Linked DNA regions of Coturnix japonica. The protein of the gene in region 1 binds, or shares a complex with, the protein of each later gene. Links are inferred from orthologs where the notes say so. Each region holds a gene or a part of one and is shown in the gene's direction. Other genes may lie near its edges.

Region 1 (8,955 bases):
ATTCAATGGTTTTCATATCACCTATTACCGTGACATCACTGAGCACTACAAAGTTTTCAAAGCATGAAAGGCCCATTTAAGTCCTGATTTTACTGATTCTGTAACGGGATTCCTGTCTTAAACCAAAACCCTTCAGATTAATTGTTCATCAATTAAGTTGGCTTTAGCGTAACAACAGCAAAAGGTAAATCAAAACAGTTATTTTTCATCCAGTGTTAGATAAGGAGCTCCATTCAAAGATGTTTTGGTACTGTCAATCTATGTTATCATTTCAAATACAAGTACCAACACCTATGCGGTAGTAGATATCTGCTTCCTCCAAAGCAGAGAAACGTTGAAAGAATTATTATGTAAACAAAAGTGACAGCTTATGTATACAGTTCATATTCCATAAATTATAGAAACTAAACTAGAAAGAAATGACACGCATTAATGCCCCATGTTAACTGCTGAATAAATATGCATGATTCTATAGACATGCTCATACAATCAATGAAGGTGCACCTTCACAAAATGCCTTACCATGAGAAAAAACTTTCATTGTGCCACAAATACGCTTGATTTTTCCCCACAGTCAATGAAAAAAGTCTTATAAAAATACCAGTGTTTGCATTTATAAAGAATACTTATATACAATTAGAACTATACCCACAATGTATTAATGTGCCCCCTGGCTTCTCAAAGGCTTGTCAGTGCCAATATGTGTACATATGCGCTAGCTCTCGGTGTTCAGAACAAGACTGATATACCGTGGAAGAAGCTCTCACTTTATGTATGAAATGTGCCACATGTACCAGACATAACGATATTAAAATGATATTACAATGGGAAACACCCATGCATAGACAAAAAGACTTCAGTGCACACACTTTTTACATCTCTTAGAAAAGCAGCCTCTATAATCAAAAATATTTAGTTCAGAGGAAGAAAATTTACCTACAACTTGCAGGGTGCAGGCAGGAAAATAAGCATACAGAGTTAAAAAAAAATAAACAAATCTTCATACAGTTGATTTCTATCACGAACTTTATTTTCTGATTTCAGACCAAGTATCTCCTTCATTCTGGAACACGTTTTAAGAACTGGCAAAGAAATGCATCTAAAATTCGTCTAAACTCAAGTACTCGGTAAAACAAACTCGCTGCAGTTCAAGACTAAACTGAAAGGATGCAAATAATTCATGTGCCTGGTGCCATCTCCTGGTAGCTTAGAGATAAAACCATCAGAACACTGAATGCTGTTTCGCAATAGTAGCTTTTTAAACTCCCCAAATTCACAAAAGCTGTTTCACTAGACAAGAAGGCCACTATCAAGACATAGCTTCATTCATGCTAAATGATGTTTTCACATCGGATTAACACTTGCATAACGAAACGGAGATTGTAAATGGCTGGGCTGGTTCAGGAAAAGCCTTTAGCCAGGAACAACCCACACATCGTTCCCTCCCATAGCACACAGAACTAAGCAGATATAATAAAAAAGTAGCAATTTCACTAGAAACCGTGGAAGTTCAGCTAATTGAGAAGGGCCTCAGCCCACCAGGAGTTAAGACAGCATCCAACACAGGATCTACAAATACCACAATATGGACTGAGGGAGAAAGGGAGCAAAAAGTCAACAAACAAGCTCAACACTCACCATCAGTATTAGGCACAGACAGTTTCAGATGGGCAGCATTATAAACCCCCAAAGGCAACTCAAAACAATATGCAGAAAATAAGAGGGATGAAGGTTAAAGTACTAGTTCTATGTGCTAGTAAGTAGAGAAGCTCCCCCTAAAGTGGGGAAGGAAATAAAGGAGCTTGAGATCTACCAGAACAGGAGAACTAGAGCTCTGTTACCCACAGTAAGATTTCCTTCCTCTGCACAGGAAGAACTGGATTTTGCTGAGACTTAATATGACAATTTGTTAATGTGATAAGAGGGCTTTTATAACAAACAGGACTTTTATTCTACAGACTGTTTTATTCTGCTGGCAGGAGAGACCTGTCCACAACGACCCGAGGGTTAAAAAACTAAACAAGAACAAAAATAAAAGCCCCAAACCTGGGAAGGAACTTTACACATGGATTATTTCTTCTTGTCTGCTGAATGACTACAGGAGCATGACTAGAGTTGCCTTAAAAAATTTGCAGGAGCAGCAGTGATCTGGATTGTCACAGGTTCATTAACAATGGCCATGGGGAAGCAATCATTAAATGTTGCAGAAAAGCCAAGATAAATAGGGGATGTTTAATTCCACAAAAAGAGAATAATAAATATATATATGTGTGTGTCATATCAAAATGTAATTGAGAAACACAGCAATGACTAAAGAATCATAAGAGAACCAAATTAAATGCAACTGGGATTTCACATTCCTTCTGAAAATTAAGGCTTTAGCATGAGATAATTAAAGCAAGGACGGCCAACTCGTGATGTGCCAGAACGTATAACTCAGTCTGTCATCTGCATTGCCGAGTCCCCGCGAGCTGCTCAGGAAGCGGGCTGTCAGACACACCGCTCCCTCACCCACAGCACTATCCCCACTGCTCCCCGTGACAGCCCCACAGCCTCCTGCTTGTCACGCAGCTGGACATGCCCTAAATGTGAACTACAGGCATCAGCAGCACATGGAAAAGCTCCTCATCCGCCTCTGCCAAAACACGGAGAAACCAATTTGTGTTGAAGCAGATCAGCTACCTGCAACGGGAGACCCTTAAGAATCCACCAGAGCGCTGAGGAGCCGCACTTCGCTTCTATGAGCGCTGGGTTTGTCTATTCCACCGGGTCTAACTACAATGGCGCAGCGGAGGCGGCTCGTAGGGAACCTCGGAGGGAGAAAAGCACGAGAAAATCCCAGAGTGGGAAAGGAAGGGCTCTGAGAGCGCTCTGGGACGGGAATAGCGCAGGGGCTGAAGGAGAATAGCGGGTATTAACAGCAATCCGACTGCTAAACGCTGAGCGGGGCGGCTTTCGTACTGAGCACAACCAGAAATAGCCCAGAGAAGAGGCAGCACCTCCATAAGGACACACGCACCCAACGGCACCTGACGGGACGCACCCACACACCGCAAACCCCGCCCGCCAACGGCCGCACCCCGCGCATGCGCAGCACGGCATCCCGCCTGCTCAGCCCTCGCAGTCGGCCGGAAGGGGCGGGGCGTGATTTGAAGCGGGCGGCGGGCACCGCCATGGCCGCGCAGCTGGGCCGCGAGCAGCAGGGAATCACCCTGCGGGGCAGCGCGGAGATCGTCGCCGAGTTTTTCTGTAAGGGGCTGCGGGCCGCCCAGGGGTGCGGGGAGACGGGGGCGGGTTGGGGGGAAAAAGGCGGGCGGGCGGCTGGCTCTAATGCCGCGGCCGACATGGCCGCCTGTAGGGCGGGAGGGGTGGCCCCCTTACAGAAGCCTCCCCGCTTTGTGCGCGCAGCTTATGGCATCAACAGCATCCTGTACCAGCGGGGCATCTACCCCCCTGAGACCTTCACCCGCGTCCAGAAGTACGGCCTTACCCTGCTCGTCACCACCGACCCCGAGCTGAAGAACTACCTCAACAACGTGGTGGAGCAGATGAAAGGTGAGACCTGCCCCCCCCCGCTTCCCGTCCCCTTTTCTCCTTCCCCTTTTTCTCATACAGCCGTAGTAAATGCTGCGGCCTCTTCCAGAGTGGCTTTATAAGTGCACCGTGCAGCGCCTGGTGGTGGTCATCTCCAGCATTGAGAACAATGAGGTACTGGAGCGGTGGCAGTTTGACATTGAATGTGACAAGAGCGCCAAGGGTGAAAGGTGAGTGACAGCGTTTCTGTGCCTGCTTCTCCCTGTTGGGAGACACAAGGGAAAGACCAAGTATGGTAGTGCTACCTCTGTAACCTAAGAGCTATCTGACGTTACCAAATAAAGCTGTGGGTGCCATTGATGTGCTCCAGGGACTGGATGCAATCCAGGGGGACCTGAACAGGCTGAGCAGTGGGCCCAAGTGAGCTTCATGTGATTCCACAAAGCTAAGAGCAAGGTATTATACCTGGGTTGGGGCAACCCCTGCTTTCAGTACAATCTGGGGGACATAAGAATGGCGCACAACCCTGCTGAAAAGGTCTTGGTGGCAAGCTGGACATGAAGCCTGAAATCATAGAATTACCCAGGTTGGAAAAGACCTTGAACATCATCAAGTCCAACCGCAGCCTAACCAGTACCCTGACTCTAAAAACCCTACACTAAATCATATCCCTGAGTAGGGATATGACCTAACAGCCCAGAAAGCCAACTGTATCCAGGGCCACATCCAAAGAATTGTGCATGGTCAGCAGGGTAAGGGACGTTATCCTGCCTGTATGCTCTGCGCTGGTGAGCCATCACCTGGAGTACTGCATCCAGATTGAGAATTCTCAGTACAGGAGAGACATGGAGCTGTTGGAGTGTGTCCAGAGGAGGGCCACAAAAATGGTCCCAGGGACAGAACAACTCTCCTGTGAGGATAGTCTGAGAGAGCTGAGGTGTTTAGCCTGGGGAAGGCTTAGGGGAGACCAGAGAGCAGCCTTTCAGTATTTTGAGGGGGGGCTATGTGAAAGAAGCTGACAGACTTGTCAGGGCACAGGGTGTGATAAGAGTGAAGTGTTTCGCTAAAAGAAGTGAGGTTTAGATTGGATATAAGGAGGAAATAAGTTTTTTGGCTTGTTTTTGTTTGTTTGTTTCTTTTTTTACAATAAGAGTGGTGAGGCACTGGCACAGTTCATCCAGAGTAGTAGTAGATTCCCCATCCTTGGAGCCACTCAAGGTCAGGCTGGCAGGACTGAGCAATCTTGTGGATCTGTAGGTGACTGTTTATTGCAGGAGAGTTGGAATACATAACAATTAGAGGTCCCTTCCAACTCAAATGATTCCATCATTCAGTTATCAAAATGTTTTGTAATCTGCAACTGAACAAAGTCCTGTATTACTGCTCTTCTGCTGTTTTGCCAAAACTCTCACCCAACCCAGACAGCAAATATGTCCTTAAAAACACTGCGAGGTTTCACAAACAACAAATTGAAAGTTACAGTTTTGTGAGCCTAAGGCTTGAAAGAATGCTTCTGCATAACCATACAGCAAACATACCCCACAGCAGTGCAGCAAGAACTGTGTTTAAAGAAAGCTGTCAGTATTGGAGGTGCAAGTTGTTTTCTTAAAGAGTTTTCTCATTTTTCCAGCGCACCCCGAGACAAATCTCAGAAAGCCATTCAGGATGAAATTCGATCTGTTATCAGACAAATCACTGCCACGGTAACTTTTCTGCCTCTCCTGGAAACTGCCTGTGAGTATTTGTAACTTCTCCGAAAGAAATGACACTTCTTTCAGAAAGCCTGAACTAGCATTTGATTGTAGAAAATCTTTTCCACTATTCTGTTTTTATTATTATTATTTGAAGTGTCATGTATTGCATTTCTGGGTATATGTTTGGTTAGACCAAGACAGTCTCAGCTATGTACAGTATAGAAGCAGCATCAGATAAAGTACTCTAAGTATTGTCCTGTACTGCTTCTTGTACAACAAACTGAAAAAGAACTGCTACTGTAAATACTGTGCTCTCTTTCAATCAAGCACTTGGAGCAACTTCATTGGAAGTTAAACTCTTAAACTCGTTTTTTCCCCAAAAGGTGCAATTCAAGGTGATTTAAGTAGCTTGAAGAAACTTGGTGTATCTGAGGACCTACAGCTGTCATAAATATTGCGACTACAGGAATGATAACTAGTATTTGTTTTCATTCCTTTAACTGCCATTTCTTTTTCTATAGATGCCATAACTACTGATAACCTTCTTGCATGTCTCCATGCGTTTTAACTTCAATTATGGTATCATTCCTATGTGTGTAGCATTAACTTTTTCCCACCTGCTTACAGGTGCCTTTGACTTGCTGATTTACACAGATAAAGATTTGGTAGTGCCAGAAAAGTGGGAAGAGTCAGGACCACAATTCATTGCCAATTCAGAAGAGGTTCGTCTTCGTTCCTTCACTACCACGATCCATAAAGTCAACAGCACGGTGGCTTACAAAAAGGATTCTTTTCCTTAAAACTGTTTCTTGTACATATCCTGTCCTCTTGTATAGTGTCTGTTCATAGAGCAGCTATGTTGTGAACACATGATTGCTCTTGCTGAATGTGCAGTATTGTGCCTGATAATGTGGTGTAACACTAGATTAAGGTGGCACTGTTTGAAGAGCTCTGAGGTGTTCATGACAGTATTAGGCCTGTTTTTCATGCAAGGTCTGGATTTCATGACCAGAAATAATCCATATCTAATCCCAAGATTAATTCTAAAGTTTTTACCATAAAAGCAGCTGATGAGCAGGAAAAGGCCCGAACAGATGAAACACAGCATTTTGAAGAACATGAGACTGCAGTTCTGGAGAGGGTGCTGTTCTGCATCAGTGTGTCTTGTCCTTCTTCAGCAGCTGCACAGCATTTTCTATGTCTGTATTCTTGTTTTATGGAATAAACCTTGAAACTGTATAGAGTTCTCCTAGTCACAGAATGTGGGAATTTGTATTTTAGATGTTAGAATTCTGTATAGCAGCAGTTCAGGCTAATGCCGCAAGTACCTCAGTCACAAATCAAGTGCTTTTGTCAACGTGAAATCCATGAAACTATTCATTAATTGTAGTTTGTCCCCACTCGTGCCTAATACTGTTTGTGGATGATTAGTGATGACTCTATCAATTTTGCGGAATGGTCCTGTAAGATCACCTGGTTTCAACCCCTGCTACAGGCAGGGACACCTACATCTCGATCAGGTTGCTTAAAGCCTGTCCCAGCTCCCTTCCAGGGAGGAGGCATTTACAACCTCACAGGGCAACCTGTTCCAGTGTCTCACCGCCCACACAGTGAAGAGTCTCTTCCCAATATTTAGTTTAATATTACCCTTTTACATCTTAAAGCCATTTCCTCTTGTCTTGTCACTACATGCCCTTATAAAAAGTAATTCCCCCTCTTTCCTGCAGGCCCCCTTTAGGTACTAGAAGGCTGCTATCAGGTCCCCCCCCTGGAGCCTTCTCCAGTGTGAAGAGCCTTAATTCCCCATAATCATTAAGCACAGCGTTGCCTTCTAAATTAGTATCAGACAACAGGCCAGCTGAAGAAGCTCCATAAAAAAAATTTACACTAGCATACACTGCTTTCAGCATTCCCAACAGTCACACTGGAGTTACTTAGTACTTAAGCACTTATGGTTTGACTGATACACGAGTGGTACAATACTATCATTTAAAAAGAGTTTATTTTAAAACTATTGATTTTGTAATATTGCTGCAGAGTGTAAATAATGGGCTTTCCTACCAGGAAATATCCATCCCCACAGCAGTCCCATTTTAGAATATTAGAAAGACACTATATAAACCAGTAAGACAAATCATACTGCAGCTAGACTGTATTTAACAGAGGAATAAGCCTAGTACTTCCCTCTGCCTGTCAGTGGTGTTGTTAAGCAGCTGACTGCACTACCTGCTTACACCTAGAAGTAGGTGCGCTTTAAACAGTAAAGTGCAATTTTAAGCACTTCCCTTGGGGAGGACTGGATCAAAGCAATGGTTGCTGTTCCCTTGTAACAAATTTACATCAGAGAATGCCAACGCGTGCTTCATAGCAAAGGTGAGAGGGTGGACTGGTACAGTGCCAGCAGTAAAAGGTACTGAAAACAAAGATAAAAAATCCAACGCCTTAAAAAAAAATCAGATTGCTCCAGAAAGTTCAAGTCATTTCGTTTTTTGCACCAAATAAAGTTTCTTTCTCAAGGACCAGCCCGGAGTGCAGCTTCATCACCTGGATTTTGTTGGCTTTCTTTACCTTCTTTTTTAAAGGTAGCAATAGACAAGAGATGTAGTATATCATTGTAGAGAGCCCAGGTCCATGAAAATTACATGTGAAAAAGAGCAGGTTCTAAGTCCTGGTGTTTTTGCAGAGACTGCAGAACAGAAAAGAAAGAAAGAAAAAAATTACCAGTCATTTGAACACATTTTTCCCAGCAATCCAAAAATCAATGGATTTGGAATAGCCCACTAGCACCAATAGCTAATGCAACCCATGATCTCTAGTTTTCTCTGAGACTGTGAGGGTCACCATAATATATAAACTCGCGTCTTTGATGGCAATACAGTTAATCTTAGGAAGCCAGATAATAAGGATTTAAAATGTACATTCCTCACCTGTCTAGTTCAGCTGCCGTATAAGCTGGTTGATTCCTTCACCTCTGCAGCCAGGCTTACCCATCTCCTTGAGAAACCCCACTTTATTACGTGCAGCATAGCGGGCCACTGACAGCTGGAACGGCCATAGGAAGTCTGAGACATTTCTGAAGTACTTCCCAGCTGAGTAGATTTCATGAATAAGGTCTTCCAGGCAAATAATACCACAGTTCCCTGCAGGAAAAAATAACCGCAAAGTACAATGAACAAGACATGCAACACGCAGCAGACACACACCACCCATAGAGATGTGCAGCTATTCCTTCACACAACCAAGAATCCCCAGATCTCTATATAAAAGTCTTGCACAATTTTTCCTCCCTCCCTTTTCTCTAAGGTCAGACTGCAAACTCTCAACATCTCCCTTAACCACAGCTTCACTTTGTTTTCTTATCTTACATCTTACCTAAATGTTCCTCTATCAACATATTGTCCGTCAGAGGTACCCTCTTCTTGTTAACCTTTCCTTGGCCCCGTTTCAGAATGAGCTCTCGTACAGATTTCAGATTAGGATACCTGCACAAAAACAAGAAATCAGACTAAAAAGTGGAGAGTCCCACTCTATTGCTTCACACTGAAGTTGGGAAGTAGCCATAGTAGCTTTAGAGTGATAAATATCAACAAGTTTTAGATGTGAAGTCAGTGAATTTTTGACCACTTACTGGAGAAGGCAGCTACAAATCAGAAAGCCATGATATTTACAAATTTACATGGCCTCAAGCTGCGCCAGGGCAAGTTTAGGTTGGATATTAGGAAGAACT
Region 2 (8,947 bases), on another chromosome or scaffold:
GGGACCTATTTGTGATACATGAGCCAAGCGTGATTAGCAGAACAGCCACAAACCGAGTGATAAATGATTATCAGGGACACCTACAGCTGTCAATATGAGCTCAAACTCTTCCAGCTCAGACACTGGGTATCTCTGGGCACTCAGAAGATGACTGACTGTTCCTTCCTTAGTACAGTGTCTGTCTTTCTGTCCACATGGGCACGTTCCCCACACACTGTCTTTCCTGGAGTTATTTGTTGTGAGACAACTCTGCGAAGAAACCCTCCTACCCCCACAAAAGGCTCACCTTGTACTCGATGTTACCATCTTCTGCCTGGTCAGAGAACAAAACAAAACAGAATGGTTAGATGCTGTGCCAGCAGGGATTTCTATAGGCATCAGCTGAAAAGATACTCTCTACTGCTTGCATTGGCTATTTCAGAGAGGGAAAACTGCAGAAATTTATTGTTAGATTACAGTCTATTCTGCTGTTCATTCCCACACTCAACTAGAACGTACTTGAGGTTTCTTTTTGCTGTTTACATCACATATAACGAAAAACAAGGGATAAAAGTAGAATATAACACAGAAGGGTAGCGCTGCCACCTTCTTGTTTGTTTAACTTGTCCACAAAAAACAGGGCCAGTCACACAGAGTTCCAGGCTCAAAAGAGCCACTTCCCACACTGCAGAGCACACCATCCCAACCTTCTGTCCACTCAGTGCACACCAAGTTGTTTTAGAGCCTAAACCAGAAAGGCCCATAGAGTCATCGACCACAACAGGCTCCAGCTTCCAAAGAGAACGTATAGTCTAAACTGAAGTAACTTCAGCACTGATTTGGTCTAAGGAGCCTTTAAGAAGCCACGTACTCTGGCAGACTAAGTTGAGCTGCCAACTCTAAGCACTTGCTTTACCTCTGGACACCAATTTGCGTGTCAAGAGAGGCAACAGTCCTCTCCCTGCCTTCTAGCTGAGCTTCTAACCACAGTGGAGCTTATGGTGGCGGAAGGCCAACAGAGGGAAGTTCCAAGCTGCCAGCTCGGCACTTGGGAAGCAGAGCTATGCAGCGAGGGAAGGCTATGTGCAGGAGGTTTTACTCTTTTGCTATTTAAGAAAAATATTGCGTTCACATTCTGTGCTGTCCTCTAAACAAGGGGGTCGGTCTGTTCTGAGGCAGCTGAGCCTAGAGGAAAGCAACACACTAGACTGGGGCGGCCAAGGACAGGAAGCCGTGCTGAAACCACAGGGGCCGTGCAGCCTCCAGCTGAAGGGAAGCAAAACTGAACTGCAGCTGCAGGGGACAATCCTGCCCACCGACAGGATCTCACACAGCCGAGCTGAGCTCCTTCCTCGCTATAGCCCGGTGTGGGGAATGCCCCTTCCCGGCACAGACTGCGATAACTTACAGAGAGCTCGGCCAGCAGTGCTGAGCAGTGTTCTGCGGGACAATGTATTAATGCTCTCCGCCCAGTTTGCTCACAGCTGTGCCAACCAACCTGCACTGACCCACACACCCCTCAAGTACCACCAGCAGCTTTTCCAGCTGCAAGAGGCAAATACCATCACCGAGATCGCTCCCTCCGAGCCCGCCGGCACCCGCCGCATCCCGGCGTACGACAACACCGCCTCCCCGAGCCGTGCCGGTACCGTGCCGTGCCGAGCTCCGTTCTGTATCCCGGAGCCGGGGATCCCCCGCAGCGCTGCCCCGAGCTCCCCCTCATTCCCACCCCGGCCCCGCGGCGCACAAAGCCGCCCCCCCGTCCCGTCCATCCCGTCGTGCGGCGCTGACAGGCCCCGTGTCGCCCCCCGCCGTGTCACCTCAGGCGGCAGGTACGGCGGGTTGTTGGCCTTGCCCCCCCGGCTCCGCCCGTTCTTCTTCTTCGCCTTCGAGCCGCCGCCGCCGCCGCCGCCGCCGCCGGGCGCGGCCCCTCCGCGTCCTCGCAACGCGGCTCCGTTGGGCCGGCAGCAGCCCCCGAACAGCTCCGACACCCGCGGATCCATGGCGGCCGCTGAGGCCCCGCCGCCCGCCGCCGTTCCCGCTGTCCCCGCTCCCCGCCCGGGCTCCCCTCCGCCCCGGCCCCCGCCGTCAGCGAGCCGCCGCAAGGCACCACGGGAAACGGAGTCCACGGCGCCACCCGCCTACGATTCCCAGCACGCACCGCGCCGCGCCCCTCTCGGGACTGCTGCTCCCGACGTGCCCCGCGGCGCTACCCGCAACGTCCTCTATGGGTTCCCTTCGCAAGGGCGGATGGGAGTTGAAGTCCCGTGCGGGCGGCGCCCCCTGGCGGCCATGGAGCTCGGGGTGCCCCGGTGCTCTCCGTTACGGGACGGGGCGCTCCAGCACACGGATATTGGCACCGGGGGCGGGAAGCCGGGGCGCTTTACAACATGTCTGGCAGCAAAACTACCCAGTAAAGGCGGAGAAACGGCACCACGTACGTGACAATTCACGCAGACACCGCAGCTCCTTCCGACGGGGCTCACAACGACAGCGCCGGGCTCGGCCCCCATGTGCCGTGCCAGCAGCACCCCGCTATTCACCCCGCACCCGGGGCACGGCGCCGCCGTGTCCGTGTCTGCCAACACGCTGTGGGAGGCCCGTGGCGGGCAGCGCCCAATGGGGCCGCGGACACGTTGTTTCCAAACACGGCCGCTCCCCCTCCACCCCGGCCGGGTGCCCGCCTCCTCCTCCTCCTCCTCCTCCTCCTCCTCGCTGCGGCGCTGCTGCTCCTGCCCAACAGCGCCCGGGGCGATGTGAGGCGGGGAGTTGTGCAGGGCCGGCCCCCATCACCGCCGTGCCCCCTCCCCGCAGCGCTGCGGGCGGGCTGTGGGACAGGGCACAGCCCCGCTGTCCCGGCCGCTGGGGGGCGCTCTTCTGCTGTTCTGCTGCGCAGGGCTGGCTCCTAGCGCCCTCCCCCCATCCAACATGGCGCCCGCTCTCCGGAAGCCGCGCAGTGGTCGCTCCCCCGCTCCCATGGTGCCCCGCGGCGGCGGCCATTCAAATTGCAGCGGGCGGACAGCGCCGCTCACAAAATGGCCGCGCCGGGAGGGACGCGGTCGCCCGGTGTGGCGGCTGCGGCGGCTCCGTGTAGTCCGCCCTCCCCGCTCCTCACGGCGGAGACGCCGCCAGCCCCGGAGCGCGGCCGCGTTGGGAGGAGGTCCCGGCGGAGCGCACCGACGGCTCTGAGCCCCGCCGTGTCCGTGGTGTTCCCGGGCTCCGTGAGCCGAGAGAGCTGCTGCCGCTTCGCCTGCGAGCTGCTGAAGCACGTCCTGCACCAGCGGCAGCAGCTCCCGCTGCCCTACGAGCAGCTCGCATACTTCTGCCAGCGGGCCGCGCAGGTGGGGGGCGGCATTGCCTTGGGGGGGGGGGGGGCGTTTAAAAGCCGCAATTGCAGCGCCTTCACTCGTTGTCCAACGTGTCCCCTTCTAGAAACCTGTAGGCTCCAAGCTCAAATGTTGCCTTCTGCACGTTGCTCCATCGTGGATGGAGGAGGGGATGCACCATACTTTATGAAGAGTGAATCAGGACCCTCTCCAATCTTTTTTACTTGTATTAATGTCTCTTTTGTTCTGGTTTGCAGGATGGAGATGTGATCAAGAAGCCGTCCTCTGTGGGCCTGGCAAGCAAGAAGTGCCAGCAGGTGCTGGTGGAGCTGGAGGGAGTGTTCCAACAGTTGGAAGTGATGTTCAGCTTGACGCTGGTTCCCCGTGTTCTTATTCTGCTCGGTGGCAATGCTGTGAGCCCCAAGGAGCTTTACGAGCTCAACTTGGAGGGGATCTGTGTGGGCAGCGCTGAGAAAAGCCTGAAAACCACATCCTGCGTACGTAAGCTTTTTCACTCGCTCTTCATTGCAGATGTCTTCAGTGAACTCAAAGCTCTTCCCGTCACGGGCACTGTTGTTATGCTCCAAGGGCATCGCAATTGTGGTGCGGAATGGTTCCGGCCCAAGCTCAACTACAAAGTGCCAACCCGAGGAAGGAAACTGACTATTAATTTGTCCTGTGATGGAGACGTTGATACAAGTGCCTCAGCTCCTCAGACTCTGACTTCTGCTTGGGAGGACTACATATGGTTTCAAGCACCAGTGACGCTCAAGGGCTTCCATGAATGATCTGCGCTCTATAGAACTTTAATGGGATATTGAATATTTTTTGGTGCTGCTTTAGGCAATAATCCTATCAAATATAATGGCACACTCTTGTCTCTCTGGATCTCTTCTCTAGGACATCTGTTGCCTTCCTGGACCACCTTCTTCCATGTTCACCTCCTGACTTGTCATTGAAAGCAAATGCCCTTTAAGGCACAGTTGCATACAGATATAGTGATTCCTTAAGGAGATTAATTGATATATTGGGTGTAAAAACTTCCCTGTGACATGCTTGCTGAACTGACAAATATCGGGTACAGTCCTTCTGTGTTTTACTCTCCTGAGTTTTACTGCAGCCATTTCTGTTAATGATTACTGCATTTTATGATCATTTGGGACAAGATAACATATATGATTATTAACATAGCTGGCCATTACTGTGAAGGCCATAACCAGTCTTTACCTCACTGATGTGAAAAAAGACCTTTTCCTGCAGCCTACTCAGGTTTGAGTACTCAAGTGCTTGCCCATCTAGTAGATGATATATTTCTTCCCATAACATTGTTTCAGATTGTTAGGAATCCAGCATGGTGCCCTTTAGCAACTGGGAGACTTCATACCTAACACTGTGTCTTATATTGGTGATGAAATGAGGCTGAGTGGTCCTGTGAAGGCAAGGGAGCACATCTGCCTATTTCTTTACTAGTTTTTAGCCCATCAGACCTAACAATCAGATTGATATGTGATTAAAGTTAGGAGCAAGCAGTTTATTCTCTCCTTCCTATGAAGTTAGGACTCCTGCCTCAATGTTAAAGCTTATTCTCACTTAACAGAAAATAAAAGTGTCTTATTTGCTTTTGGGGCAGGGAGGAGAAACAAATGCCAGAACCAGATATCTGCTGGAGTTGTCTTGAGTCATCTGGATATGTCTCTGCCGTGTAATGAGTTAAACAGCTCCATCCATAAGAAGAGAATCTCTAAGCTGTTGGTAGTAAGGTTGCTTACTAGGTGCTAACAAAAGCTGTTTGATGGGGTGATAAAAATCATTTGAAAGGAGGTTGTTAAAGGGTGAGTTAACCCTCTGCACTCAGTGCATATTTTAAGCTTTTCTGACATTTTGGCAGTGAATAAGATTGTAAAACTGGAAGGAAATCAGTTTTTTTAAAGAACACTACAGGTGCATTTTTGCCTTGTTATCCATTGACAGCTAGTAAGTGCTAAAACTAGCTCTAAGGACTGCTGGAATAAGGAGAGCTGCCTTATGTGCAGCTGCTCACTTGAGAGTATAATCACAGGTCTCTTGAATGAAGTGTAACTCAAATGATTCCATAGGAGTGTTTGATATCCTCAGGACATCTAAGCCCTTTACATTTCCACCAAAGCTGCTTGAAGTGTCTATTTAAGTATGCTAAAGTTTCAGTATTTGAAGAAGGAACAAGGGGCCAATTCCTTTCTATCTCCTCCAGATGAGTGCAATGTAACTGCATTAAGTTGTTTACATATTCAATTATACTTGAATTATGAATGCAGCAGTGATACGGTGCCAGGAATAGAAGACAAGATGCTTTTTTTCATATGAAGAGCTTTAGAGTTAAACAAGTTTAATAGTTATCATCATCATTATCAAAATAAAATGGCTTCTGTGTTGTGATCGTATTGAGTTTATTTAATCCCTTAAAGTAAGGCTTCTGTGTGTGGCAGAACAACTTGCTTCCACTCTATACATGTATCTAAATTCAGGTTCATAGCCGCTCCACCTTTCTCACAAAGCGGATGATGTCTTGTGCCAGCAGCTTTGGTTCCTCAAAGGCAGCAAAATGTCCTCCACGTGGCATGTAAGAGTACTGGACGATGTTCTTGAAGGTCTTCTTTGCCCAGACCTGTGGTGTATGTGCTATCTCCTGGGGAAAAGCCGCAACAGCTGTTGGAACGTAAACTCCAACCCTAAAAAGACATTGATTAACAGTATTTTCAAGAAGAACTTCTCAAAGTCATTTAAAAACCTTCTGACTCACAGCTGTCACATGAGTTGAAGCAACTTCACCACAGCAACTCTTCTCATAGTTTGTACTCTGCTGAGGAGCTCCACTGGTGTTTGGATCTCCTTGAATTCAGAAGTGTTATATCTAAAGATGCACGAAATGAAGTCCCCTTTGTGCAGAGTTCAGTATTGAAATGTGTTGAAGCCACACCTCTGTGCCAAACTCCAAAGTGAGCTAACTCATGTTTGCTTTAGAATTCCTGGTACCAGTATAACCCCTATTGAGAGGGAAGGTGAACTGGTTCTGTCAGTCTACAGAGAACATGACTTTCTTTTGCTAAGATCAGTCACTTGCTGAGTTTTGCTTCCTGGTCACCCTCTCCTGCAGTCATCTCAAAGCTAGCAGCTGTTAAAGGTGTTTGGTTTCAAGTTCTGCTCTCCTGGAAGCTTGTTTCCTTGGAAAAAAATCACTTACTGCTTCTACAGTTTTTGCTTAACAGCTGTAGCTCATGGTTTATTCACCTGTAAATCATCTCCTTCCTGTTTAAACCTGTTCAAAATGCTTGTGATTTTCTGGTTTGTTCTTAGTGAACAAAGCCATGGATTACAGTTGTTTGTCCAGTAAGTCTATGGACCTGCTGTATTTTGAACACAGATCTGAATTAGCTCTGTTAAATGTTCTGCATTGTTTTGGCAACAAACCAACTTGTGTGAATCACAGGTTTAAAAGAAAAGCATCCCTTAACTATATCAATTGAAGATAACAAAAAAAAGCTTGCCTTTTATTTTTTTCCTAGTATAGGTTAAATTTGCAAGTGATCTGAATGCTTATACTGGTAAGTCTAATTTAATCTTGTTTCAGCACCCATCTTGCCACTTTGTTACCTGGCATCAGCCATAAAGTCCCGGGCAAAGTTCTCCTTGTAGTAGCGCATTGAGGGCACAATAGATGCTGTCACCCAGTAAATCATCACGTTGGTCAAAAGGTCATCCAGAGAGTACTTGCTAGTGTGAGAAAAAAAGATTCAATAGAACTGTGAGCTGTTTCTCAACATACTTTATTAGGCCTATGCTCTGATAAGCCATTGGTCCTCTGGTTCTCTACTCATTTTCAAGCAGCAAAACAATTTACATTCACGTGCCCAAAGCAGAGCAGTAGCTTGCAGGCAGCCCTCTATACGCTTAAACTCCTACTTACCTACTTGTAATCTTTCATCCTTAAAATTCAGCTTGCACTGGCCAGCCTTTTGTCTATCTCCTCATCAGTTATCATCAGGTGGTTGTTTTACAAGTTTTCTCACAGGATGACATTTGCTTTCTTACCTTTCCAAGCCTCCATCGTCTTTCTTCAGGAATGATTTATCTGTCCACGTAGAGAATTTCTCCAAAATATATGCAGCAAGCCCCACAGGGGAGTCATTCAGTCCACAACCTAATGCAAGCAAAGAGCAGCAGAGCTCTTATATTTGCATGGTGCTGAAGTACTTCAAAGTTCATCAGCTTTTGTATGATTTAAAGAGTGGAATACTGCATTACCTGTTCCTGCTATTAGAGAGCACTAACATGAGATAAATGTAGCATGTATGCACCAAGTTATCTTTGTAAAACAAGGATAGCGGTCACTCCATTAATGATGCTAAGGGTTGTATACCTTTATCTTAACTTTGTAGAAGATAACACACACTGCTGTTCCAATTTAAATTATGGACATAGCTAATTAAGTTTGTGCATTGGCACAATTTCCCCTGCAGTGTCAGGGTAATTTGCTATGGGCTGAAATCATGTAAGTGATTTTGACCAGCCAACAGTAGTTGAGGCCTAGATGTACCATCTAATGCATGATCCATATGGCAATGAACTGAGGGCTGGAAGCTGCCTCTCAACCATTGTATTAAACATCTGTGGATTACAAACTCAAAGAGTAGTCCTGTTTGCAGCTTGTTATTCAGCCTGTGCTGTAGCTTACATACTGCAAACTGTGCTGTGAGAAAAAAAAATATATAAGCTTGCTTTAAACCTGCCTGATGAGAGCTGCACTGACAAGGCAGTTATTCCTTGAAATTGAGTAGGGCCATACAAGGTTTCCTATTCTTTTTCTACACCCTTCTCTTGTAGTATGCCATGGAGTCCCTGCTTTTTTATTTATTGGTTTTAATTCCCCTATGGGTCAGAATCCTGGACTATATGCCACATTTGTATGGAAGCTGCCTGATCATTTCAGTATTCCTTTTTTTCTCTCCTTTCTGTATCCTTCTGGTTCTAAAACGTACATATAAAACAGGGCCAACAGGGATGCAATGAATTCCAAATATCCTTGTTTAATTCTTTGCCTCTTTTTGCTTTATTTGACAGACTGTAAAATGCTCTTGAACTCTGACTAAGCTGGCTGCATTTCAAAGAACTAGCCATGACTCATGGCTTTTCCCCCACGGCAGCAGCCAGACCAGAGCTGATTGTGATTTTCTTCCTCTAATTGCTTTGCACTTTGTTGACATCCAATCTTATAGGCCAGTTCAATTGGCAAGTCAATTAAATGTTTCTGCAACTCTGTGCAGTTATCTTTAGATTAAACCAAACCTTGGATAGCCATCAGTTTTTCACTTAACAATTAACTTTTCTCTGTAGAGAAATTAGGATCACACTGAAATGTGCTAACACAGATTTTTGTTATAACATCCCTTCCCCTGCAACTTGCTTATTCCCATGTTAACCAGTTATTAATCCATGAACTAAATCCTTTTCTTAAGGCACTTTTGTTTTTTGGGGAACAACAGGAATAGAACTTTGTACTTCTAAAAGCTTCAGTTTCATAACTCAATGCTTCACTTTAAGAGTGCTCTAGAAAGGAGTTCTTTCCCCAAGAGTAGCAGCATACTACTTTAAACTGTTCGGAAAAA

Evidence for each region.
Region 2: the proteins of MAD2L1 (region 1) and MAD2L1BP are in contact, whole or in part, in a crystal structure (PDB 2QYF), measured with the Homo sapiens proteins. The link is inferred for Coturnix japonica from reciprocal best matches to the Homo sapiens genes MAD2L1 and MAD2L1BP. Residues at the interface, in NP_002349.1 of Homo sapiens: Tyr33, Arg45, Thr52, Leu54, Lys122, Asp126, Glu127, Arg129, Ser130, Arg133, Gln134, Thr136, Ala137, Thr138, Thr140, Phe141, Leu142, Leu144, Glu179, Val181, Arg182, Leu183, Arg184, Tyr199, Asp205; in NP_055443.1 of Homo sapiens: Pro61, His79, Tyr82, Gln83, Gln85, Pro88, Leu89, Pro90, Gln93, His96, Ala185, Leu187, Arg188, Phe191, Arg192, Phe195, Asp198, Ala199, Phe200, Ser201, Glu202, Leu203, Gln204, Ala205.

What each region holds. Positions count from the first base shown.
Region 1 is NC_029519.1:48,824,286-48,833,240, forward strand, and holds MAD2L1 (mitotic spindle assembly checkpoint protein MAD2A), read left to right. Parts: upstream 1-3,111; 5' UTR 3,112-3,173; coding exon 3,174-3,249; intron 3,250-3,408; coding exon 3,409-3,555; intron 3,556-3,643; coding exon 3,644-3,764; intron 3,765-5,164; coding exon 5,165-5,268; intron 5,269-5,855; coding exon 5,856-6,028; 3' UTR 6,029-6,476; downstream 6,477-8,955. Other genes in the region: RPL7L1 (60S ribosomal protein L7-like 1), read right to left, coding at 8,160-8,368, 8,601-8,710. UniProt on the Homo sapiens protein: Component of the spindle-assembly checkpoint that prevents the onset of anaphase until all chromosomes are properly aligned at the metaphase plate.
Region 2 is NC_029518.1:27,746,064-27,755,010, reverse strand, and holds MAD2L1BP (MAD2L1-binding protein), read left to right. Parts: upstream 1-2,970; 5' UTR 2,971-3,014; coding exon 3,015-3,320; intron 3,321-3,562; coding exon 3,563-4,093; 3' UTR 4,094-5,720; downstream 5,721-8,947. Other genes in the region: GTPBP2 (GTP-binding protein 2), read right to left, coding at 287-313, 1,800-1,982; epoxide hydrolase 1-like, read right to left, coding at 5,812-6,013, 6,936-7,055, 7,374-7,482. UniProt on the Homo sapiens protein: May function to silence the spindle checkpoint and allow mitosis to proceed through anaphase by binding MAD2L1 after it has become dissociated from the MAD2L1-CDC20 complex.